3 linked regions of the Rhinolophus ferrumequinum genome follow. The protein of the gene in region 1 interacts with the protein of each later gene in a pairwise test. Links are inferred from orthologs where the notes say so. Each region holds a gene or a part of one and is shown on either strand. Other genes may lie near its edges.

Region 1 (7,368 bases):
TGGGCTTTGCCACAGAGATATTTTGAAAGCTATATGCCAGTGCAGTTTGGCTATATCCCCTTGCTCCCTCCAAAAACAACTCACCTCACTCTCACACATACGCTCAGTACACACCTGGAAAGGGCAAGAGAACCCTTCCTGAGCCTTTGTGTCATGAGCTCTTATCCCTCAGGACTGACCTGAAGCTGGAAAAACAGACCAAAATCCCCTTGCAGTGCTAGAGGTAGAAAGGCTGCAGGGAGCGGGGTCAGGCAGCTAGTGAGCTAATCCTCCTGTCTGTTTCCTCCTCCCCCAGGTGTATCAGTCACCTCCAGTAACACGGGCGTGCCAGATATCTCGGGTTCTGTGTACTCCAAAACCCAGGTAGGTGCCTGGCTCTGGGTACAAGTGGAAAAAGAGAGGTGGACGTAGAGGAGGTGGAGTGGCAATGACAAGTCCAGGGAGCCGGGACAGCCCTAGGAGAGGTGTCAGGAAACCCACCCTGCTAGAGAAGGATGGTTTAGACTTCGGTTGCTTGAGAAAGTTTAAATTTAGCCATCTGGGGAAAAAACGAGAAATGTTATAGGGAGGTATGAGGTGTGGAAAATTGTGGTAATTGTGTCATGTGATTTGTGCAACTGTCCTGGCCCTTTACTTACCCACTCCCAGCCTTTTCATAACTTTCCGAGAGAACGAGTGGAATGAAGGGAAACTAGTTCATTGCATTCTTTGTAAGTCTCTCTCTGAGTGGGAAAGGAGACGACTCAATAAGTAGGTGAGGCAGTTGAATTATCCACAGATTTGTATTGTGTTGCTTTCTTCTCCCGCCACCATAAATAATTAGAAGTTTGGTAGGACATATCAGGAGGAGTCAGCAGATTTCACTGTGTACCTGTACGTCACGTTAGATTTGATAAGAGTGCTGTCACCTCCATCCTCTCATTCAGTCCTTACAACTGAGAGGTCGGCAGCATCCCTGTTTTATGTATGAGAACACGAGGGCTGAGAGCTCACACAGCTATTACAGGGCAGGGCACTGTTCTTCTGTGACACCGAGCTGCTTTCTGAGGGTGGGAGAGCTTGGGCTCAGAAATTCCAAGGGTCCATTGGCTGATGCCTTCTCTGCTCTCTCTCCCGTCCTCCCGGACAGCAGTCCTTTGAGAAACAAGGTTTTCATTCCGGTACTCCTGCTGCCTCCTTCAACTTGCCCTCAGCCCTAGGGAGTGGGGGGCCCATCAATCCGGCCACAGCTGCTGCCTATCCACCGGCCCCCTTTATGCACATCCTGACCCCCCATCAGCAGCCGCACTCCCAGATCCTTCACCACCACCTGCAGCAGGATGGCCAGGTAATAACCCTCCCTCTCTCCTCTCCCTTCCTCTTCCTTCCTATCCCTTAAAGCTGCCTCCCCTTTCCTTTTCTCACCCTTCCTCACCACCACCCTCCACCCAGTCCTCCCCAGCGCCAGCCATGGGCACACAGCACATACAGACACGAGCGCACATAACACGAGTGGCCGGCAAAGGAGATAGCAGAGAAGGGGCCAGAGTGAAACCCTTTTTGCCCAGTTCCTTTGGGGCCTTTCTCCTCCACCTCCTCCCGTAGCACAGCTGTCCTCCTCCTGTCAGACCTGGGTCACACCTCCCCTCTTACCTCTCCCAGCCCTCCCCCTCCCTCACATTATAGCTTTCCCTTCTAATGGTGGAGTTCTCTTGTCAAAGTTTGTCCCTTTATTTTCCATATATCCTGGTTCTGCCTCAGCTACCATATTTGCAGATGATTCTCTGTTGCCAGCGCCAGCAGGAGGAGCAGGTAATGAAACTGAATGATGATATGCTTGAACCCACTCCTTTTCAGCCCCCATTTCACCATCACAGCCTCAGGGAACTTGAAGAGAAAAGATTGCACAGTCACACACCGGGACACACAAACACAAACACCTTGCTGAGCTCTCTGGCCTCCCATTCCTCTCTTGTCCTCCCCTCCTCAATGCCCTCTTTTTCTTTCCACCCTTCCCTGACTCTGGAAACACTTGGTTACCGGAATGGAAAGGATTCTTGGGGCAACATCTGGAGCCTGGGGCCTCAGACTGTCTCTCCTGCCTTGCCTGAAATGGGCTCACAGATGTGAAACGTGGTAGGGTGGGGAGCCACGGGGTGGTGGGAGTGACCTCTCCTCCACCCTGCTGGCTGGGGAGCTGGAATAAGGGCTTTGCTCTCAAAGACAGCTTTCCAAATTGAGGCCTTCCTGTGGGAATCCGTGAAAGGGAAAGCAATCAGCTGTGATCACTCATCTCGGAGAGGCCATGATTCTCTCTAGAGAGCAGCCTTTTCTCGGGGCGGGGTGGGCGGGTATTGAAATGAGTAGAACTGATGCACTGTCTCATCTCTAAAGGTATCTTGCCCTTCTTTTCCCCTTTCCCCTATTTAAAGGTTGAAAGTGCTTTGTTGTCAGGTGCGCTAGCAGTTGTACAAACCAGATTTTCTATGGTTCAGAAGGAAGCTTCATGGTAGTTTCTAAGCAAGGGGAATGGGAGAGCACGATGATTCCAACTCTCCACCTGAAGATGTCACAGATTTGTCCCACTAACTAGACACCTTTTTCCTCCCCATCATCCTCCCATTCCCCTGCAGACGGGCAGCGGGCAACGTAGCCAGACCAGCTCCATCCCGCAGAAGCCCCAGAGCAACAAGTCTGCCTACAACAGCTACAGCTGGGGGGCCAACTGAGGCCCTGACCCTCTCCTCCCGGCCCCATCTTCTGAGAGGGCTCCTCAGCCTGGCAACTGTGGAAACAACATCAGAGAGAAAGGAGTGGGGGGGTTCTGCTGCCCCCCACCCCCAGTGGCCCACCCCATGCCTCAGCTTCATGTCTGTCCATCCCCATACCATCCCCACTCTGTTCTATGTATTATAGAATTTGTATTTTCTCTTTTTTTTTTTTTTTTTTTGGTTCCTCTCCTTCCCCCTTGCATTCAAGATTATGAAACTTTGCTGTGGGCCCTGCCCTTCGTTCTCCTGTTCACCCTGGTGGTGTATGGGTGAGGTGGGGAGGGGGACCCCCAAATATATATCAGCCCAACAGCCCTATGTCTCCTCCTTTATTATTAGGAAACAAAACAGAACAACAAAAAATGGCGTCATGAATATGAACAGCATTGTCAGAATTAGTTGAAGTGTTTTTTTTTTGTTTTTTTTTTTGTACTGTGTCCTCAAATTTAATGGATTAATGTGTCTTGTATATATAAAAAGAAAACCTCTACCTTCAGCCTCTGCCCATTCTTGCTTCGTCTAGGGCATCCTCAGTCTCCTCGAGGACCAGCTTGGTGAATAAGTATTACTCTACCATCCAGGCCTCTAGCAGGCCCCGAAGGCAGTGGAATAAAACGAAATCTTCACCCTTTCACAACTCCTGACCTTAATGTGCTAGTGTCTTGCCCGAGGGGATTCCCTTCCCTTCTCCCCTAAGAATTTCACAGCCTGTTGCCTGGAAAGATCCATCACAAATCTTCATTTCCTCCCAAAACTGCTTCATCTGTGGCAGATTTCGGGCAGTAAACAGAGTGGGATGGCGGGTAGGGAGAGGATTAAGAAGGAGCTGAAAGAAATGGCTTTGTAGAGTCAAAGCGTAACTTGGATGAGTCCAGGCAAATGAACTGGAAAGGAGGGTACGGGGCGCTGTTGCTGGCAAACAAGCTTGGTTCCCAGCTGGAGGAGGAGGAGACCCCGGCAGTTCGCGCCGGCCAGCGCTTTCGTTCCCCAGGTGCACCCAACCTGGAGGCTGGGGTGGGAGAGGCTTTGCAAGTCAGTGACAGGGGAAGGGGGAGACTTAGAGCCCCGAATTCTTCCCTCCGAAGACTTCACTGTTTCCCTTGCTCCCCCACAAAGCCTTTATTCTGCTGGTTGCGCAGCCTGCCTGGAAGGAAAACACTCGATGACCAACTCCTTAGCGGCCGTAGTGAATGCGTGCGTCCCCGTGTCCATCTCAACCCTGGGGAACTCGGTACTAGAGGGAGCTTGATCAGATACTTTGTCCACCCCTGTTGGACGTGCGTCAGTCAAGAAACGGGCGAGGTGGCTTCAGGGGGAAGACTGGTGGTCCACGGGTGTGGCGAGGGCGGGACGGGGGCCCGTTCGTTTGCGCGGATGGGCTGCCCTCTGGCGGCTTGATCCGGCAACATCTATCGTCAAACCCTCGAAATACCTATCGGGTTCGTCGGCAAGAAGAATCGGCTTAGGAGGCAGGTGATCAGTGGAAAAGGAAACTTCACAACGCCCACACCCCTCACAGGAAGCAGGTGCGGCGCAGAGAAAGCCTCTCGAGTGTGAGACGACCGTCCGCCCCGCCCCTACCCACGTCCGCTTACGGTCGTTTTACGACAGTGTCCTGATCGCGGGCTTGCTTTCCGGCAGCGTAGCCTGACGCTCGTCAATTTCCGACCGTGTAGCGCAAGCTACCGCCAGGTGTGAATGGGCCCTGCGTGGGCTTGGGTGGTTCGAATCCCAATGCGGGAATGAGCCTCTTTGACCTCTTTCGAGGCTTTTTCGGCTTTTCTGGACCTCGGAGGTGAGACTGGGTCTGGGTCGGACGTGGGGTGGTCTTTTCGGGGGACAGCGTAGCGCAAGCTACCCCCAGGTGTGACTGGACCTCGGGTGGGCTTTGGTGGTTGAATCGCAATGCGGGAATGAGCCTCTTTGACCTCTTTCGGGACTTTTTCGGCCTTTCTGGACCTCGGAGGTGAGAATAGGTCTGAGTCGGACGCGGTGGGGTCTTCTGAGGGGACCTTGACCCCTAACACCCTGTTTCTGGAAAAAACATCCTCTTCCCCATTCCTTCAACTCTTGCGGAAAGGAGACAAGTCACAACATTGAGCACTCACCCCGAGAAGTAACCAAAGCGGTCGTTAAGAGGAGGAGAAACGGCAGCTTAAGCGTCTCCCCCATCTGGGGTGATGCAACAGGGCCCGGGGTGGGGAGGGAGACAATGGGGCTCTGGGTAAGAAGACTGTGAGCAAGTGAGCACGACCTTGGGAGAGGGGAGGAGCTGGGGGACGCTGGAGAAAAGCCGAGGGGAGGTGTCTGGGGGCAGCCGTGAGGTGAGGACTGACTTTGATTAAAAACTAAAAACCAAACCGCGATGGCCAGTCTTCTAACCCTCACCTCAGCTTCCTGGGCACCTGTTACCTTACACTTTGCCACCCATGAGTTGATTTTATGGTTTAAGTAGTGCTGAAATGTTGGTAGCTAATCTGCCTCCACCCCCAGCCCCAGAGATCCCTTTTTTGGAGGGATGACTCGAGATGAAGATGAGGATGATGAGGAAGAAGAAGAAGGAGCCTCCTGGGGCCATGGGAGCTCGAGGTTTGAGGGTCCCCAGCCCCCTGAGGACTTTGCCTTCGGCTTCAGCTTCAGCCCAGGAGGAGGAATGCGATTCCACGATAACTTCGGCTTTGATGACCTTGTACGGGATTTCAATAACATCTTCAGCGAGATGGGGGCCTGGACCTTGCCTGCCCGTCCTCCTGGTGTGTGGCTGCCCCTGAGGGAGAACCTGTGTTTTCTACTGGGGTGGTGGGTGAAATAAGGAGCCTGCAGAGTAGTTGGGGGGTGGGAAGTGAGAGAATACTGATGATTTCAAGGGGAGTTAAAAGGTCCCAAGTCCTTCCCCACCCCAGCATGCCTCCACCTGCCACCTTTCTGCAGAACTCCCAGGTCCTGAGTTAGAGATACCTGGAGAGAGACGGCAGGAAGGCCAGACGCTTCGGGACTCCATGCTTAAGTATCCAGATAGTCACCAGCCCAAGATCTTTGGGGGGGCCTCGGAGAGTGATGCAAGAACTGACTCCCCCAAACCAGCACCAGACTGGGGCTCCCAGAGACCTTTTCATAGGGTGAGTACATCTGGGCTTGAAGTGAGACCCCGTGGGAGACCACTGGAATAGTCCTTGTTGGAATCTGACAGACTTGGGTTGGAATCCTAGGCCCTCTACTTAGTGTTTTTATCTGTTTTCTATACTAAGCTTCTTGTAGGATTTTCTTTGGGGGAAAATGGGAATTCTGCTTTTTCTTAAAAAAAAAAAAAACAACAACAACACCGGTCCGTATGATGCTTGGACAAGGCAGGATTGTTGGGGGAGGACAGAAAAGTATCAGTTCAGGAAGGCTTTTTTGGAAGAAGGATAAATAGCTAGGAAGGAGAACGGGATGAGTAAATAAAGCTGCTGTGAATGGGATTCTCTCTCCTGGGGAAAGGTGGTTTTGGAACTTGAGAATAGTTTGGGTTCCTGTGATTCCTCAAGTTTCAGAGTGAAAGGTGTCATATCACCTACTTTGGCTTCTTCTGCAGTTTGATGATATGTGGCCCGTGACCCCCCATTCTAGAGCCAGAGAGGATAAGGGTGAGTCTGGAGAGAGAGGACATTACCAGCCCTCTGTTCTTCAGGAGTTCCCTCTGTTCTCCCTCCCTGAAGTTTCTTCCTGCCACGCTTGTCCCCTTCTTTTTCTTAGACGCTTTCTTTCCTGTTTCCTCTCTCTGCCCTTCTAGATCTTGATTCCAAGGTTTCCCAGGAGGGCCTCGGCCCAGTTCTGCAGCCCCAGCCCAAATCCTATTTCAAGAGCGTCTCTGTGACCAAGATCACTCGGCCAGATGGGGTGAGTTGGGAGAGAAGGGTAAAGGGAACCGGATGCCCTGGAAAGAGTGATCTAAGTAAAGAAAGCAGCAGACTCACCCTTAGTGACGTTAGGAATGTCGTGGGGGCTTTTCCTTGTAGACAGTAGAGGAGCGCCGAACTGTGGTGGACAGTGAAGGCCGGACAGAGACCACAGTCACCCATCAGGAAGCAGACGGCAGCCCTAGAGATGGTAAGTGAAGAGCGTGAATCAAAGTGATTCATCTTTTAGTTCCTTGGTACTTATTCTTCTACCCTTTAATAGCATTCCTCTCGTTTGCCCTGTGTCTTTCATTTAGAATGTCTGTGTGTATCACTTTCTTCCTTAGATCCAGAATCACCAACACCTCCAGCCCTGGATGATGCCTTTTCCATCCTGGATTTATTCCTAGGCCGTTGGTTCCGGTCCCAGTAACCTTGTTAACCCTCAGAGGCCTTCCAGTTCTTTCCACCTCCCACTGTTTGCTCACCATCAGTGGGCTTATTTAGCTTCTCCTCCTGCCACCTCAGGTTCTTGGGTGTGTGGAATAGTGAACTGTAGAACTGTGGGTATGTCAGTATGTCACTCACCCAAACTGACCAATAAAACCTTTATTTATGCTAATTCCTCAATCTTGGTTTTGTCAAGGCTGTTCCACTTTCTAGTACCATCCAGGGTTTCGCAAATTATCTTGACCCACAACCTTCTCCTTGTTTAATTTTTTTTATTCCACTTCCAAAAC
Region 2 (7,390 bases), on another chromosome or scaffold:
CCTGAAGCATGCCTCCCCTGATTCTGTGACATTCTTTGGAAGAGATCGTGGTTGTATTCATAATATCTGTAGTCTTCATGTGTACGATCTCCAAGTGGGCGTCTTCTCTGACCATCAAAATAATTATCTGAATAATATCGGGAACCAGAGTCTCCATTTTCAACAGCAAAATTAACTTCTGTTAAAAATGACTGAGAAGAGCCATCTTCCCGAGGGACATCTGCTAGACTCCTGGCAAGATAAGAAGGTGCAGATAATCTGTTGCTTTCTCTTCTCATTACTTCATGGGGTGTTCTTTGAATTGGAGTTCTAAGGAAACTCTGGTTTCTTGAAACTATTCCATCTCCAGAAGCTGAAAAGGCATTAGGGCTTGAGTCTGGAAGACAGATATCAGTTCGTCTTGGAATTGTCGGACCATGCCGGATGAATGAAGGCATGAGATCTATAATGAAACAAAGAATAAAATGACCACTTCAATAAGTAACAAATACACTTTTTCAAAGTTGTTCATTTACATTTATCACCCCCAAATGCAAAATTTCAACAGACTTAAGAAAACACAATTAAAATTTGTGATTTCAGATAGTACTTGGATATTTTAAAATTGAAGCTGATTAACATATTTCCACTCAAATGAAATTTATAATCTCATCATAAATGTGTAGAATCAAATGTATTCTGCTTATAACCATACATAACATGAAATATCCATAAGCTTAACTATGAAACACATACTAATGAAATACGAATAAAGTGTAAAAATAGAAAACAATCTAATAAATGGATAGTTACCAGCATAATTTAAGATAATAGCTTGTTTTATTGATTTAACATCATTTTCAAAATTCCTAAAAATCCTTCTTCAAAACAAACACAATTTCAAAAATAAAAACAGAACATATGCTATTCCCAAACATATAAAGGGGAATTCTTTAAAAACATTTTAAAATTATTAACCTGGTCTTTCTACTCCTGGACGTAGCACTAGTACAGTAATCAAAACCTGGAAAGCCAAAAATATAGCTATAGAAATAAAAAAATAAAAAAATTTCACAGTCACACAAAAGTTGAATTTGTTTTAAAAAAAACCCCGGCCAAATCTGAAACTATGGCTCCTTTAAGAATAAGTAATTATAATTCAAAACAGAAGATAACAGTAGAACAATGGCTCTTGAGGATATAGTACTTCGGAATACTTAAATAGCTTAGACATTCCTGGTTAGAAGGCAAAATAACCCTAAAACATGAAGAAAACTAGATTTGGAGACAAATTTTGAGGGCATTCATATTAAGCTTCAGAAGCAAACTCTAGACAGAAATTAATATCCAAATAAACAAGGCTCACCACTTAATGAAACTAAAATACTGTATCAAGTTACTTGCTTAAGAGTATAGCAAACATATTTTATGATTTCAAGAATCATAATTATCAAGCGATATTTAATTAATATCAAGCGAAATTTAATAAACTTTATTTGCAGCAAACTGCAAGCTATCATAAACTTAGCCTTTCAAAAACGAATGTGTAACTCAAAAACGAATTGTTAAAAAAAAGGTTTAAAAAATCAAGTTTCAGGTTACTGATGTACCCATCTGATCTAGTTTGCTGTTCTATAAGAAAGCACTGGAAATACAGGATAAATCTGGAAGGCTGATGATGTGGTTGGTTATAATGGAAAAACATGCCCTCCACCCCTTTCTGTGTGATCTTAGGCAAATACTAGGAACTCTATGAACAGCTTTCCCAATTATAATGAGGTAATGATTAAGTCACAAGGTTACCACAAGCTTCCAAGAAGGAAATTTTACACAAAGGGCCAGCATGCAGTATGAGCACCAATATACTAGCTCCTTACCTCACAAATGTTCTGAACACACGGCAAGAATAAAAACTTCAAAATATATCCTATTAAAGTTAAAAAAATACACAAACTTTTTGGTATTTTCTCCTAAAATATGACAGAAATAATTTTGAGTACTTTGTCTTTTTGGGTTTTTTATTTGAAGCAATTCTCATGAATATATGAGAACACCAAACACAGACGATTTTGGTTCCTCTACTCTGAGATTTAAGATTGAAAAGGCTTTGGATAGCAGCTACAATAGAGATGGTCAGCTTTCACCTCCTCGAGTTCTGCATCCCGCAGCAGAGCTAGGAATTCTTTCTACCCAAGAGTTTGCACAACTTCAAGCACCGGCGAGTGACACCCACAATGTTTGCAAACACAAGGCATATCTCGACGTATCTAGACGAGGAAAAAGTGTGCCCCGGTCTAATTACTTTTACTCCTATAGCATCAGGGGATCAGTAATTTAAGTGTTTCCCCCCAAAGAGCCTCTTTCTTCCAGTAAAACGAACACTGCCTTAAGAGAGCAGGGAAGTTTGTCATTTTTTTTTTGGGAGGGTGGGGGGCTTGTAGAGGAGGGGGACTGATCTAAGTTTCTTACTATGTCAGTTTCAAAGAACAAACACGACTTCAGACATAATGAAATTAAAATCACAACAACAGTATTTCACAGAGACCAGCAGGAATGCAAAGGCGCGGGGAGCCGCGGCCGCTCGGGACAGGTATGGGGTGTACCCGCCCTGACACTTACTCCGCAGCAGAGGCGAAGTCTCCTTCTTGACGTACTTCCCCTGCACCTCGGCAGGCTTGGACACTTCGTTTTTGGTTTTCTTTCGGGACAGCATCCTGGTCGACGAGGCTCCAGGCCGCGCCAAGCAGCCTCCCTAGGGCTCCGCGCTGGGCGCCGGCCGTCCCCGCCGCCACCTCCGCCGGCGCCGGCGCCTCCTTCCCACCACCGCCGCCGCCGCCGCCTCTCCGCAGCCCGGGGTCGCCCGCAGGAACTGCCGCATGTTCGGGGCGCTATGCGCGCCGGTCGCCGCTCAGTCGCTTGTCAGTTCCTTCCCGGAAGTCTGCTCGCTCCGCAACGCTGCCCGAGGACTCCGTGAGGAGAGGCCAGGGACGCCGGGCCAGGGCCACGGTCCGCCTCGGGCCGCCTAGTAACCTCTACCGCTACCGCCGCAGCCGCCGCAGCCGCCGCCTACGTCCCGTAAACTTTCCCCGCGGCCGCTGGGAATTCTGGGAAACTCGACGCAGCGCAGGCGCCGCCACCGCCCCTCCCCCACCCCAGCTCCGGGGCGCGGCTCCGGCTGCGGGACTCCGGGCCTGACTCCCAGCTAACGGGCTGGTCCCACAGCCGCCCCGAGGAGCAGCGGTCGATTCACACCTCAGTGAGGGGCAGGTCCCGAGGATGGGAAAGGACAAGTACGAAGATGACCAGACTGATCGCGGGAGGTCGTCGTGAGCGCACGCAGTGGAGCTCCCTCGTCCCACAGAGTTTTTTCACCAGGACTTTGAGGGAGCTGGTGACGCTCTCCGAGACGTGTTCCCGTCATCTGAGTGCAGACGTCCCTCTTGGAGTTTGTTGGGCTGGGACATTCAGGTCCTTCATAACGCAGAATGAGAATAGAGTTGGACCACAACCCCCAGGCTGGTGCTGCACCAAAAAAAGTCTAGATGCCTCTTTGTTGAAAACATTCATCTGTCCAATACTAATTAAACAAATATAAATCTATAATCTCCTGGGTACCAGGTAGTGTGTCTTTCTCATTAAGGGGAAGAAACGGGGGAAAAACCCAAAATGGAGTTTCTACTACCTCTTATTTAAGATAAATTTGATACAAGCATATTTTATTTAATCATCACTAGTATTATACTTAGTTGCCACAAACTTCCTCTTGGAGTTAAATATTACAGTCTTAGAATTTTGAGAATTTTGAGCATTAAAGGTCAAGACCTGCAATTTTTAATCTAAAATAGACCTTCCTTCTATATAAATTAGAAGAGCTGTCAAATGTACAGGGTGACATTTGGAAAATAAGGTGGGATCCAGCCCTTAGTGACCAAATTAAGTCTTTGATTTTGGAGAAAGCGTTCCCTGAGATCAAAAACATCTTAACAAGAGATGTAAAACAACTAACAGGCAAGGAATTTTTTACTACACAGTATTAGGATGATGGTCAAAAATCTGTTTGCCATGAACAAACATTTTACCTAGTGTCTGTCTCCATCTTTGCATGCTATTATGCTCCCTTGGTACAGAGTTCTCACAATTCATTCAGTAACGGACAAAAATTTATTGAGCACCTACTATGCTAGGCGCTATACTACTGATTGGGATGTAACAATAAAAACAGACATGAATCCTTACTCTTGTGGGAAGAGAGACTACAAAAAAGGAAAATAAGTAAAACATCTGTACATAGTGATAAGTACTGAGGTGAAAATAAAACAAAAAGAGGGCTTGCGACTTTAGTGTGATAGAATGACCAGAGAAGGAGACACTGGCGTTAAATGACCACGTGAGGAAATTGGCAAAGCAACTATCTGGAGGAACGGTATTCCAGGCAAGTGCAAAGTCACTGCAAGTCACCATGTTCCTAGCAGATTTATGTAGCTGGAAGGTTTATGTAGCTGGAGCAGAGGAAGAGTGTAGTGGGAAATCAAGTTAGATAGGTAACAATGGCTAGGGAACCTAGAGGGGGTCATTCATTGTAAGGAATTGCACTTTGAGCACCATCTAACTTAATGTTTTCAAAGGATCGCTTTGGATACTGTGTTGAGAATAGACTCAATGGGAACAAGGGTGAAAGGAAGATCAGTCAGAAGCTATTGCTGGCTTGGACCAGGGTAGCAGCAGTGGAAATAATGAGAAGTGGTCAGATTTTGGACATACAAAAACAGCCAACAGGATTTGCTGACAGATTGAATACAGAGTATGAGAGAACTCAAGGATCACTCTCACTCCCGCCAATCTTGGTAGAACAGAATGGAGCTCCATAGAATACAATAAATTGTACTCTGAAAGGAACATTAGAAAAGCAGTTACTTGTTTCTGTGGTTCAGATATGACGACCAGTACTGGTAAACTGGTGCTGGTGTGCCTGGAGAAGAAAGAGTAACGAAACAGATGAAGAGACAATAGGGTTTTATTATAGTTAGAGTATGAAGACAGGAGATTAGGAGGGAAGGGGATGCCAGCTAAGTGCCAGGTTTCTGCCCAGGGCTTACCTCAGAAGGATAAGAGAACAAAAGGATATTAGGTCCTAACCTTGTTAATAAAGCCAGCTCTTCACACCTGGGATTTTCCCACAAACTGAAATACAGGATACTTTTCACATTCATGGGGGAAAGAAACAGAATTTTATAATTAGAAAAGAATTCTGAAATCAGGTAGGCTAACCTCATTGATGTGGAAACAAAACTAGAAAAATTAAATATTTCCCTTATATTTCTGGCTAGTGGCAGACTAGTCTCAGAACTGGAGTTTTCTATTTGCATTTTGGGCCTCTTTCTGCTTTGGCACTTTAAGAATTCTACTAATGTGAGTCCAGAGTGTTTCTAACACAGTTGTTTTGAAAGCCATCCATGTTCCCCACAAAGTACTCCTTTTTTCAATGCTATTTTAATTTGAATTACAGCAGAGAGAAAGCCTCAATTAGATGCTCTTTTTAAGAGCTATAATTTGCCTTTTTATCAAACAGTGTGCATTCCAGAATCAACAATCTGCATCAGCAGTAGCAATGCATAGCATAGCAATATGTGAACTTGGAATCCAAATCCTTACCTACAGACGTTTTGAATTCACATCTGTTTTCTAGAAATTCCCGGGTTTCTGGGGGTTTTTATTAAGGAATCCAGATTTTGCAGCTACAGTTCTCCAAACATTGCTCTTGGTAGGCTAATACTATATATATATATATATATATATATATATATATATATATATATATATATATATTGCAGAATAAAAAAATATTTTTTTTTCCCTTGCAGTTGCATTCTCAGTGGAGAAAAGTGACAGGGAGTTACTCATGTCTTATCAACAACTATTTTTTCTTAATTTAGCATTAAAATTTATTTTAAAGGAGGCAGTAAGGTGTTAATCTGAGCTAACCTCATAGCTCTCTGGGCCTTAATTTTCTCATCTGAAAATGAGGAAATTGGACTAGTTGAATTCCAAAGTGCCTTTCAGCTTACAGTGTTGTACCATATAGGCAGAAGGAAATACACAAAAATAAAAAAGTTACCCTAGTAGGATAATAAGCATATAGGTTATTTCCCTTCTTTAAAAATATTTATCTTTATTGCTGTGTTTTCATTTAAAAAACCGTTAAAGCAAGTGTTAACTTATTAGCATTATATAGTCGTCATTAGTGTAAAATAAAAGTTCATGCCTGATTACTACTTTCAAAGAGAGCTAAGGTTCTTGCACTGTTTTTACTTTTTCTTGCTAGAATCGTGTAAAATTTAAAAGAATTATCAAATAAAGGATTGTCCAAGAAAGAATCAAATGTAAATACGCCCTATGTTATGGAGCTTCTTCAAAATAAATAAAAAGGAGAGGAACTTCTACTCTCCGACCCACTCTTCTTGGTCATGTAGCAAAATAATCTTTATATCAGGAAGAAATAATAATTATGCTAGAATCTAGGGCTATTCAAGCCTCCAAAATTTTGCTCGTAAAATCTGGGAGGATACATTCCTGAGCGTCCTTTTAGGCAGACGCTTTAGTTGTTTCTTATGAAGGATAAGGACGCGTGATGTATACACAGCTCTGAAAATATAAATGCTTCATATAATATTAGCAACTAAGTTTGGTTCCCAATCTCCACTATGAATCATCTCCCCTCTCCCCCTCTGCCGCTCCTCCCAAATAATGTAGAGAATTAGTATAATAAGTCTGTTCAAAAGGAGTTAAGCTGGGAAATTTGGTTTCCCTAATCTTTAGCTCTTCTTCCTATGTGCTGTTAATTGCCTGGATTTAGAGGTCCTCTGAAGCCTTGATAACTAGCCAAAATGAGTCTTTTATTCTTGGCAATGCTAGCCTTTGACTTCAGTTGGCTGTCCTTATAGGCCTTTCTGTGACTTTGCCTCTCTAGACCTACAAAATTTTATCTTCCAAAATGTCTTACCTTCAGCCACTCGACTTTATTTTGAACTACTCTTTGCAATTTTCCATTTTTACTTGGCTTATAGTAAGATTTAAAAAAAAAAAACAACTCAGTAAAAATTTACTTAGGGCTCTCATTATGGGGGGAGGGGCCTACTGATGTATATTTAATGTGGAAACACTTGTATCCCTTCCACACCACATGGGGGTCAACGGATACTCAGAAACCCCATCTCTCCTCCATCTGCCTAAACAAGCCAGGCCACTATTTCTCTTCTGCTTTGGCAGTTCCATGCTGATGCAAAGAGCCCCTGCAAAGATGATCTTCAAGAGTCCCAAGTGGAAATTGAGACAAAATATTCCCCCTTCTTCAATAGCTGTTGGAATTTCACAAGCCTTGTAATACTAGCATCTCACTGCAGCATGGGACCTA
Region 3 (8,029 bases), on another chromosome or scaffold:
CGTGTGCATTTTTCAGTAGAGGAAACTGAAGCACAGAAAGGTCAGTAACTTTCCCAATGAGGCACAGTTAGCATGAGAAGCAACATGGCTTGTCAGTGTCACCCGCCAACAGTGTGTAACCATTTCCTGCTGAAGGGCTCGAAGTCACATGACCTTTACAGTATGGCCGTGAAATGAGCATGTGAGCAAGTATCTTAGACCCAGGCCAGGCTGCTTTCTCCCCATTGCAGCATAGAAATTAATTTTCCTTCCTGATAGTTACTAGACTAATGCCTGGCTGCCCTGTCACCCTGATTCTAGGTTTTATTTGCCCTTCTACTCTATTGTGCCCATTTGCTTAAAAATGGCAAACAAGGATATCACGGCACATGGCCCCTTACCTTCTTCTGGGTCATTGGCAACAGCTTCCAGCTCGTCATCAGTGGGGACCTTGTTGAAACTCAGCCGTCTCTTCTTCAGAACTTTCCCATTGCCTGCCACCACCACCACGCTCTCCTTGAAGGTAAACTGGGAAGTCTTAGAGGTCTCCTTGGTACTCAGAGATGTAAATTTACCCATGCAGTCCTCATGAAGTGTGTCATAGCTTGCGTCGTAGAAGGATTTCTGTGAGGAAGGGAGGTGGAGACTGAGAGGCTGTCTGTGGCTATAGGATGAGACTCCTTTTGTGGGAGTTTTATTCAACGGGCATAGTGAGAAGGATCGCCAGTGGGGTCTCGGCTACCCACCTTTCTTCAGTCATCCCCTCCTCCTCCCTCCTAGCATTTCCCTGGAAGGATACCATCTCTTGGCCAGTCTTTGTCATTTATCTGCAGACTCAAAAATGAGATACAGTGAAACAGGCTAACATTGAGACTCTCCAATAGTTCCCCCTTAGGAAGTTAGGCTTAGGACAGGGCTCAGACATGTTAGAAATACTCCTCTGGGAATGGCTTTTAGAGCCAGTACCAAAGACACATAGGAGTACTTGTGAGTGGCCTGCTTGGTCCACCTCGGCTTCCTGGGCTGTTACGTTGGAGGGTTGTCTCTGATGTCTGGAGCTGGCATCGGAGAGGATGACCAGAACATATCTTTAGGTGACAGACCCCTGGAGAAGTGGCCCGAAGGCTCTGTCTCAGGGTGGCAAACTAGCATCTGATGAAGCAGGGAGACTCCAGTCCTTGGGGTGCAGGGTAGTTGTGCTCTATTCTGGGAAAATCCGGCAAGTGTGGAGAATGCCATCAGCCCTGTCTGCCTCACTTATAATGAAGACATGCATGTCTCCGGACATCTCGAGATGGCACAGCAGAGGCCTATGGGACTGAAGCCATAGCTGCTGTCCTCCCGTGGAGAAAATATGACTGTCAGAACAGCCACCCTAAGAAGCAGCCATTTGCTTACCTGATTCAGAGCGAGCTGGTCAATTTCGCAACTGTATTCTTCATTTTCACTGTCAAACAAGATGATGAGAATGTCATTCTGTTAGATCACAATGGCCACCAGGCAATGTATTTTAATAACCTCATTAGCTTTGGGACACGTGTGTGCACACACGGACACTCCTGCCATCTTTGAAAATGAACGACTTCTGTACATACGTACATAGAGTAATCTGTACCTCGCTGACCTGGAATTAGTCACCTTCAGGACAGGCCTTGAACTTTACCTGTGCTTTATCAACAGAAACAGTGCTTGGCTTACAAACAGGAGTTGTAATTGGATTTCAGCTCCTCAAGAGAAAAGTTCTGCCGAAGCACCTTATTTAAATTCTGACCAAATAGACTACATTACTCATTGCTTTCATGTACTCACTAAAATGGATTTAGTAATTTATACCTGGCAAAACACCCAAACAACACTTGGATGGCCGAGCGTGTGTTAGTGCATATTAGCAGGTAAAGCAGGTAATGAGAACATGTTGTTGAAAGTGTTTTATAATTTACACCTTTTATTCACTTACGTTCCTCTTACATCTGACTAGGTTTGAGTGTGTATGAGCTCCCGCGTGCTCGGATTGCTGTGGAGCCATTTTCCTCTCCAGATTGAGAGCAAGGAGTTTCCTGAGGGTGGTCTCTCTCTAAGAGGCCTTTAGAACCCCTTACTGTACCAGACCGAGCATGTGACCCAGCCCAGGCTGTGTATGAATAGACGCTGAAATTCGCTAGGACTCAGCAGGCCTTAAAAAACACGTTTTTGGTAATGGCCGTCTTCCTGTCAACGTCACATCCGTTTAACATGCTGGATGCTTGGCTTCCCTAAGCCTTTGCTGAGCCTGCTCTGACTTTGGAGGTGGGACCATCTCTATAGCGTCTGCCGGTCTGGCCCCATGCTGGTCACTGCACCTCCTCGCTGGGTGGGTTCTAATGAGCCTGGGTCCCCTCATCAGATCACAGTCCATTTCCTACCTGTAACAGTTCTTCAGGTCTTCAAAGAGGTCGGGGACCTTGGCCATCTTGACTTCTGCAACGGAGAACACCAGCGGCTGTCAGCCTTGATGACCTCTGAACCAGACACCTATGAGGGGAACCACCTCTGCTTTGTGCTTCTTGGGCAACTTAACTCATGGCATAACCACATTCAGCATGTTCCCCATTCTTTTCACTCCCTTGAACCATTTGCATAGGTGTCTGCCTCCTCTAGCAGACTGTACGTTTCTTTTAGAATTTTGGTATCCCTTAGTGCCCACACAGTAGGCACTCAGTCAAGTTTGGCTAAGTTCAAAAACCCCACAAGAAGGAGGCATTTGCCTCACTCAGATGCAAGAGAGAGGCAGACTTGGGAAGTTCCAGTTTTCTCTCGGCAGTTTTTGGAAGTGGAGTTCCCTCTGAGGGAAGGCTTGGCTGCACCACCGGCCACCTGTGGAAGCAGTTCCCCGTCCCTCAGTTCCCACCAAGAGGAAGGATCATTTTCTGAAATCCGATTGTGATTCTAACTCACACACAGAACCAGGAGGGAAGAGGCTTTAGCTTCAGAGAAGGCAGTTTGAGAGATAACAGTCAAGGAGAGAAACAAAAAATATTTTAAAAGCCAAAATGTGACCAGGACAGTACCTTTGCCGACTCCGGTTCCGGGAGGTGAGTCGGCTCTGCTGGAAGAAGCGGCTGCCTCCGCTCCTGGGCCTTTTGTCTTCTGTGCAGTGGGTGTGGCCAGGGTGCGTCATGGGAATTTACAGGGAAGGATCCTGATTTGCATTTCTTTTACGTTCATTCAACCTTATACTGGCCAAATGACAGATTATAAACTTGATAATGTTATTTGCAGATATTCCTGCAGTTTCTGACTTGGTTCATTTATTTATTGTTTTGCTCTAAACAGTTATAAACACAGTTTTAGAGAAAGGGAAGAGAAGCAGGAAATGTAACAAGTTTCTAAAAATATATGGTGAGAGAGGAAGGAGAACTGCTAAAATCAGAACTATGGGTACTAGGGTTGGAGAGCAGCTTAGGAGCTGTAGTTTGAGTTTTGGCTTAATTTGTTTATGGCCCCCACAACTAAGTATGAATTGATAGGTACTTGGCAGCTAAGGTGTGGGTTTGCTTGAAGAAGCATAAATCAATCAGTGTGGGGACAACCTCCTGCTCGGGGCAGGTTAGAGGACAGGAAAGTGATGTCAGCCACACAAGTTCTCATCCTTTTGCTCCTCTGCAGCCCGTCAACCCACTTCCTACAAAGGGACAGCTTAGGAGAGAGCTCTCTGCCCTGGCCATGTTACAGCTAAGTGTCCCTCCACCAGAACCCCAGGACAGACCCCAGGTGTGTGAGGGTAGCTGCAGACTCATGGAGGGTGGGCCGAGCCCCGCCGCAGCCAGTGGCTAGCTTCAAGGACAGAGTTTGGGGGGAAAGGAAGGGACTCAAAATAGGACACTGCATCAGACTTTTTCAGCATTCTGAGGCCAGCCCAGGTCAGGTGGTAGAACACCAGACTCAGCATGTAAATGTTTCAGTTTTCTTGGTTGGAGTTGAAGCCATGTAAATTTTAACCAACGGAAACTGATGGAAGAGCGTGGAGGAAGAAAGGTGAAGCATGGCAACATGGTATGAAAAGCCCAAACGCACCGGACTGGGAGTAAATGGCCTGTGTGAGTTGGGTAAAGTGTTTTCTCTGGTCCTGTCCAGCAAAACAGTGGATTTGGGTAGATGGTCATTAAGGTCTATCCAAGGCACAAAGTCTCCAATTCTGATTCTGTGCCCAGCCCAGGTCCTCTGGTTATAGATCTGCTGTTTCAGTCATCAAAGACAAGGGCCACAGAGAGAGCTGGCATCGTGGACGTAGGGCCAGATGGGGGCAGAGCTTGGTGTCAGTGCGATCACTGTATGGACGGTGATGGCAACCAGCTCTTCACGTCTGTGCTTCCCCTTCAGGCAACACAGAAGTGTTAGCGCTGGTCATGCTGCCTCCCGGAGGTCTTGTGAGGACTATTACTGAGAAGCAGTTGCAGAGCTCATTGTGAACGAGGGGTGTGATGGAGAGGGGTGCAAGTAAACAAAAATACTACCAGCACTAATGATGGCTTCCGCACTTGGGAACCTGTATCGTCATCACTGTAACACCTCGTTTCACTGAAGGAAAAATAGGTCGTATGAAACTATTGGTTTGAGACTTCAACAGGGAGGACATTTCAGGTGAAGGCCTCTGTTGAAACTGTGAGGATGTTTAGCTTCTGAAAAGGAGATGTAGCACCTCTTTGGTAATCTGGGAAAATACCGTTGGTTCCACCACCAGAGGCAACACCCATCTCGCCCATTGGCACATCTCTGCTGTAGAGAATTCCCCAGTGTGGTAGTGGAATTTTTCAAGGAGAGTTTGAAATGTTTTTCTAGACAGACAACTGAGTCTGGGGGTCTTACCTAACTTTGTCCTTCATGTAACCTTCTTGGAAATAGTTTTTTTTGGATTTGTTTTTTTGTTTTTTGGGGGGCGGGAGGGAAGGGGAACAGGACTTCATTGGGGAGCAGTGTGTACTTCCAGGACTTTTCCAAGGCAAGTTGTTGTCCTTTCAGTCTTAGTTGTGGAGGGCGCAGCTCAGCTCCAGGTCCAGTTGCCGTTGCTAGTTGCAGGGGGAGTCGAACTGGCAACTTTGTGGTTGAGAGCCTGCGCTCCAACCAACTGAGCCATCTGGCCACCGGGGAGCTGAGTGGCAGCTCATTGACTTCATTCTAGTTGCGGAGGGTGCAGCTTGCTGGCCCATGTGAGAATCGAACAGACAGCCCTGTTACCCAGAGCTCGCGCTCTAACCAATTGAACCACCCGTCCACCCGGAAATGGTTTCTAAAGGAAGAGCAATGTGGGTGAGGGGTCCTTGCTTGGTTTGGGGGAGCCTACTATTCTGTGAGTGTGAACCAACGTGGACTTGTGAGGAAGCCTCAGCACCAGGCCACCATTCTCCAGGGAACGGAGAGAGGAATGGACCAGGTGGCTCTCCACTGGAGCCCCTAGGGGTTTGGGGCTGTCCTGCGACAGGGACTTTGGGTGGCTTCATGCGCCCACCTGTTGACTCTCAGGAGGCCTCGAAAACCCTTCTTGAGTCATTTTTACCTAAATCATTCAGAAGAAATGATTGTGCACTTATTCAGTGGTGGGCATTTTACTAGGCGTCAGTATTTTTCTTTCATGATTCACAGCATTGGATGTGTGAGATGAGGTGTGTTCTGGCAGGTGAGTGGATGTGCGAAATGAGGTGTGTGCTGGTGGGTGAGTGGAATCTGTTACCACGGAGGTCTTGGGTCCAAAGACCCTTGTGGATGCTTTTCCTTGGAAACGGCTTCACAGTTCAGAGCTGTCCCCTGCACTGTGTCGCTGACGCCTCGCTTCTCGGACGAGACAAAGTGCTTTCTGTCCCATTCACCGCTGAGGATGCTGAGGTGGTTAGGTGAGGAGCCTAATATAATATAATACCGGGTCTTATATTAATTTTTGCTACAAAAGACACATTAGAGCCGATGGTCCGGCTCGGTCTTATTTTCGGGGACACAGGGTAGTATGTCATGTTGTTTAATCCTCTATCAGATCTGTGAGCTAGCATTCTCACCACACTTCACAGAAGAGGAAGTCTGGATGGAGGGATTAAGCCATCTACCTAAGGGCACAAGATGACCAAGTGGCCGAAATGGGATTCAGACGCCAGAGTCTTTGTCTTGCTAGTCTTCCAGAGGATGCTGTGTTGGAGAAGGAGGCACCTCAGATGCCATCTAGATTAAACTCTTACTTTATAAAAGAGCACACTGGCTCAGAGAGAAGTAAAAAGGTCCTAAGGTCCCATGGAGAGCTCATATGAGAATGGGAGCCAAAAAATGAAAACTCACTGTACTTGATTTCTAGTTCAAAATGTCCTCCTTCCTAGAGACACTGGCTCTTCAGTAAAAAGGTGAAGAAATAATCTCTCCCATGGCTTCTCACCCATAAGTAAAAAAGGAGCTAAAGAGCATGAAAGCCCATTCAGTGAGCCAAACTGGCCATGGTTCCCACTCTCCTGGGAGCTGACAGTGAAGTAGGTAAGCACGTGCTGCTCCCAGACAAGGAAGCACTGAAGGATTCATCACCACCAAACCAGTACTGCAAGAAGCATAAAAGGGACTTCGTTAAGAAGAAGAAAAAACTTAAGAAATATGAATTAAAAAATGGCAATAATGACATATCTATAACAATTACTTTCAATGTGAATAGATTAAGTGCTCCAGTCAAAAAACATAGGGTGGCTGAATGGATAAGAAAACGAGACACTTACATATGCTGCCTACAAGAGACTCACTTCAGATCGAAAGACACACACAGACTGAAAGTAAAGGGATGGAAAAAGATATCGCATGAAAAGGGAATTGAAAAAAAAAAAAGCTGGGGTAGCAATAGTTACACCAGACAAAATAGACTTTGAAACAAAGGCTATACATAACAAGAGACAAAGAAGGACCCAGTAATCCCATTTTTGGGTATTTATCTGAAGAAACCCAGATGCTACTTCGAGGGGATGTGTGCATCCGTATGTTCATTGCAGCATTGTTTACAACGGCCAAGATGTGGAGGCAACCTAAGTGCCCCTCAATATATGGATAGATAAAGAAAAGGTGGTACGTATGTACGATGGAATAGTTTTCACCCAAAAAAAGAATGAAATCTTGCCATTTGCAACAACATGGATGGACCTGGAGGGTATTGTACTGAGTAAAGTAAGTCAGACAGAGAAAGACAAATGCCATAGGATCTCACTTATATGTGAAATAAAGAACAAAATAAACGGACAAGCAAAACAGAAACAAACTCATAGATACAAAGAGCATTCGATGGTTACCAGATGGGAGGGGTGTTGGGGGCCTGGGTGAAGAAGGGAAGGGATTCAGAAGTACACTTTGGTAGTTACACAGTCGTCATGGGGATGGAGGGGATAGCTCAAGCACTGCAGTCAATAATATTGTAATAGCTCCTGTGTTTGTGTTTCCCCCTGAATAAGACCGGGTCTCATATTAAGTTTTGCTCCAAAAGATGCTTTAGGCCTTAAGTGCAGGGGATGTCATCCTGAAAAATCATGCTAGGGCTTGTTTTCCGGTTAGGTCTCATTTTCGGGGAAGCACGGTATGTATGGTGTCAGATGGGTGCTAGACTTTGCAGGATGATCACTTCATAAGTTATATAAATGTTGTACATCACTATGCTGTACACCTGAGACTAATATAATATTGAATGTCAACTATAATTGGAAACTAAAAAAATTATCTAAAAAAATTAAAAAACAAAAAAGCACACACCGAGGTGAGAGTGGGGAGGGCATCTGACAGAGGGGCTCCTCTGAAACTGGGAGTGGGGGCTTCCTTGGGGAAGGAAGAGGGAATGATCCAGGCTGAGCACAGGTCGTGGGGTCAGATTAATGAACGTAGGGCACGAGTCTGTCGCCCAGAGAGGGAGGGACTGAGGGGTAGGAGGTGAGGTCTGGAGGAGGGCGAGAGCCAGGTGGGCAGGGCCTATGTAGACCCCACCAAGGCCTTTGCCCATTTCACTTTGGAGGCACTTTGGGCACGTGCTCTGGGCCTCGGAGAGCAGAGATCCGAGTGCTGTGGCCTG

The links.
Region 2: the proteins of HAX1 (region 1) and SAV1 interact in binary tests that used the Homo sapiens proteins (3 or more experiments, as listed by UniProt). The link is inferred for Rhinolophus ferrumequinum from reciprocal best matches to the Homo sapiens genes HAX1 and SAV1.
Region 3: the proteins of HAX1 (region 1) and IL1A interact in binary tests that used the Homo sapiens proteins (3 or more experiments, as listed by UniProt). The link is inferred for Rhinolophus ferrumequinum from reciprocal best matches to the Homo sapiens genes HAX1 and IL1A.

The regions. Positions count from the first base shown.
Region 1 is NC_046305.1:52,944,938-52,952,305, forward strand, and holds HAX1 (HCLS1-associated protein X-1), read left to right. Parts: upstream 1-4,290; 5' UTR 4,291-4,492; coding exon 4,493-4,545; intron 4,546-5,243; coding exon 5,244-5,503; intron 5,504-5,681; coding exon 5,682-5,869; intron 5,870-6,324; coding exon 6,325-6,376; intron 6,377-6,522; coding exon 6,523-6,629; intron 6,630-6,748; coding exon 6,749-6,839; intron 6,840-6,975; coding exon 6,976-7,061; 3' UTR 7,062-7,258; downstream 7,259-7,368. Other genes in the region: UBAP2L (ubiquitin-associated protein 2-like), read left to right, coding at 296-363, 1,130-1,327, 1,741-1,791, 2,613-2,708. UniProt on the Homo sapiens protein: Recruits the Arp2/3 complex to the cell cortex and regulates reorganization of the cortical actin cytoskeleton via its interaction with KCNC3 and the Arp2/3 complex. Slows down the rate of inactivation of KCNC3 channels. Promotes GNA13-mediated cell migration.
Region 2 is NC_046289.1:41,598,915-41,606,304, reverse strand, and holds the start of SAV1 (protein salvador homolog 1), read right to left. Parts: upstream 3,073-7,390; 5' UTR 2,693-3,072; coding exon 2,599-2,692; intron 443-2,598; coding exon 2-442; intron 1-1. UniProt on the Homo sapiens protein: Regulator of STK3/MST2 and STK4/MST1 in the Hippo signaling pathway which plays a pivotal role in organ size control and tumor suppression by restricting proliferation and promoting apoptosis.
Region 3 is NW_022680356.1:83,008-91,036, reverse strand, and holds the start of IL1A (interleukin-1 alpha), read right to left. Parts: upstream 3,102-8,029; 5' UTR 3,027-3,101; intron 2,437-3,026; 5' UTR 2,429-2,436; coding exon 2,382-2,428; intron 1,427-2,381; coding exon 1,378-1,426; intron 604-1,377; coding exon 381-603; intron 1-380. UniProt on the Homo sapiens protein: Cytokine constitutively present intracellularly in nearly all resting non-hematopoietic cells that plays an important role in inflammation and bridges the innate and adaptive immune systems.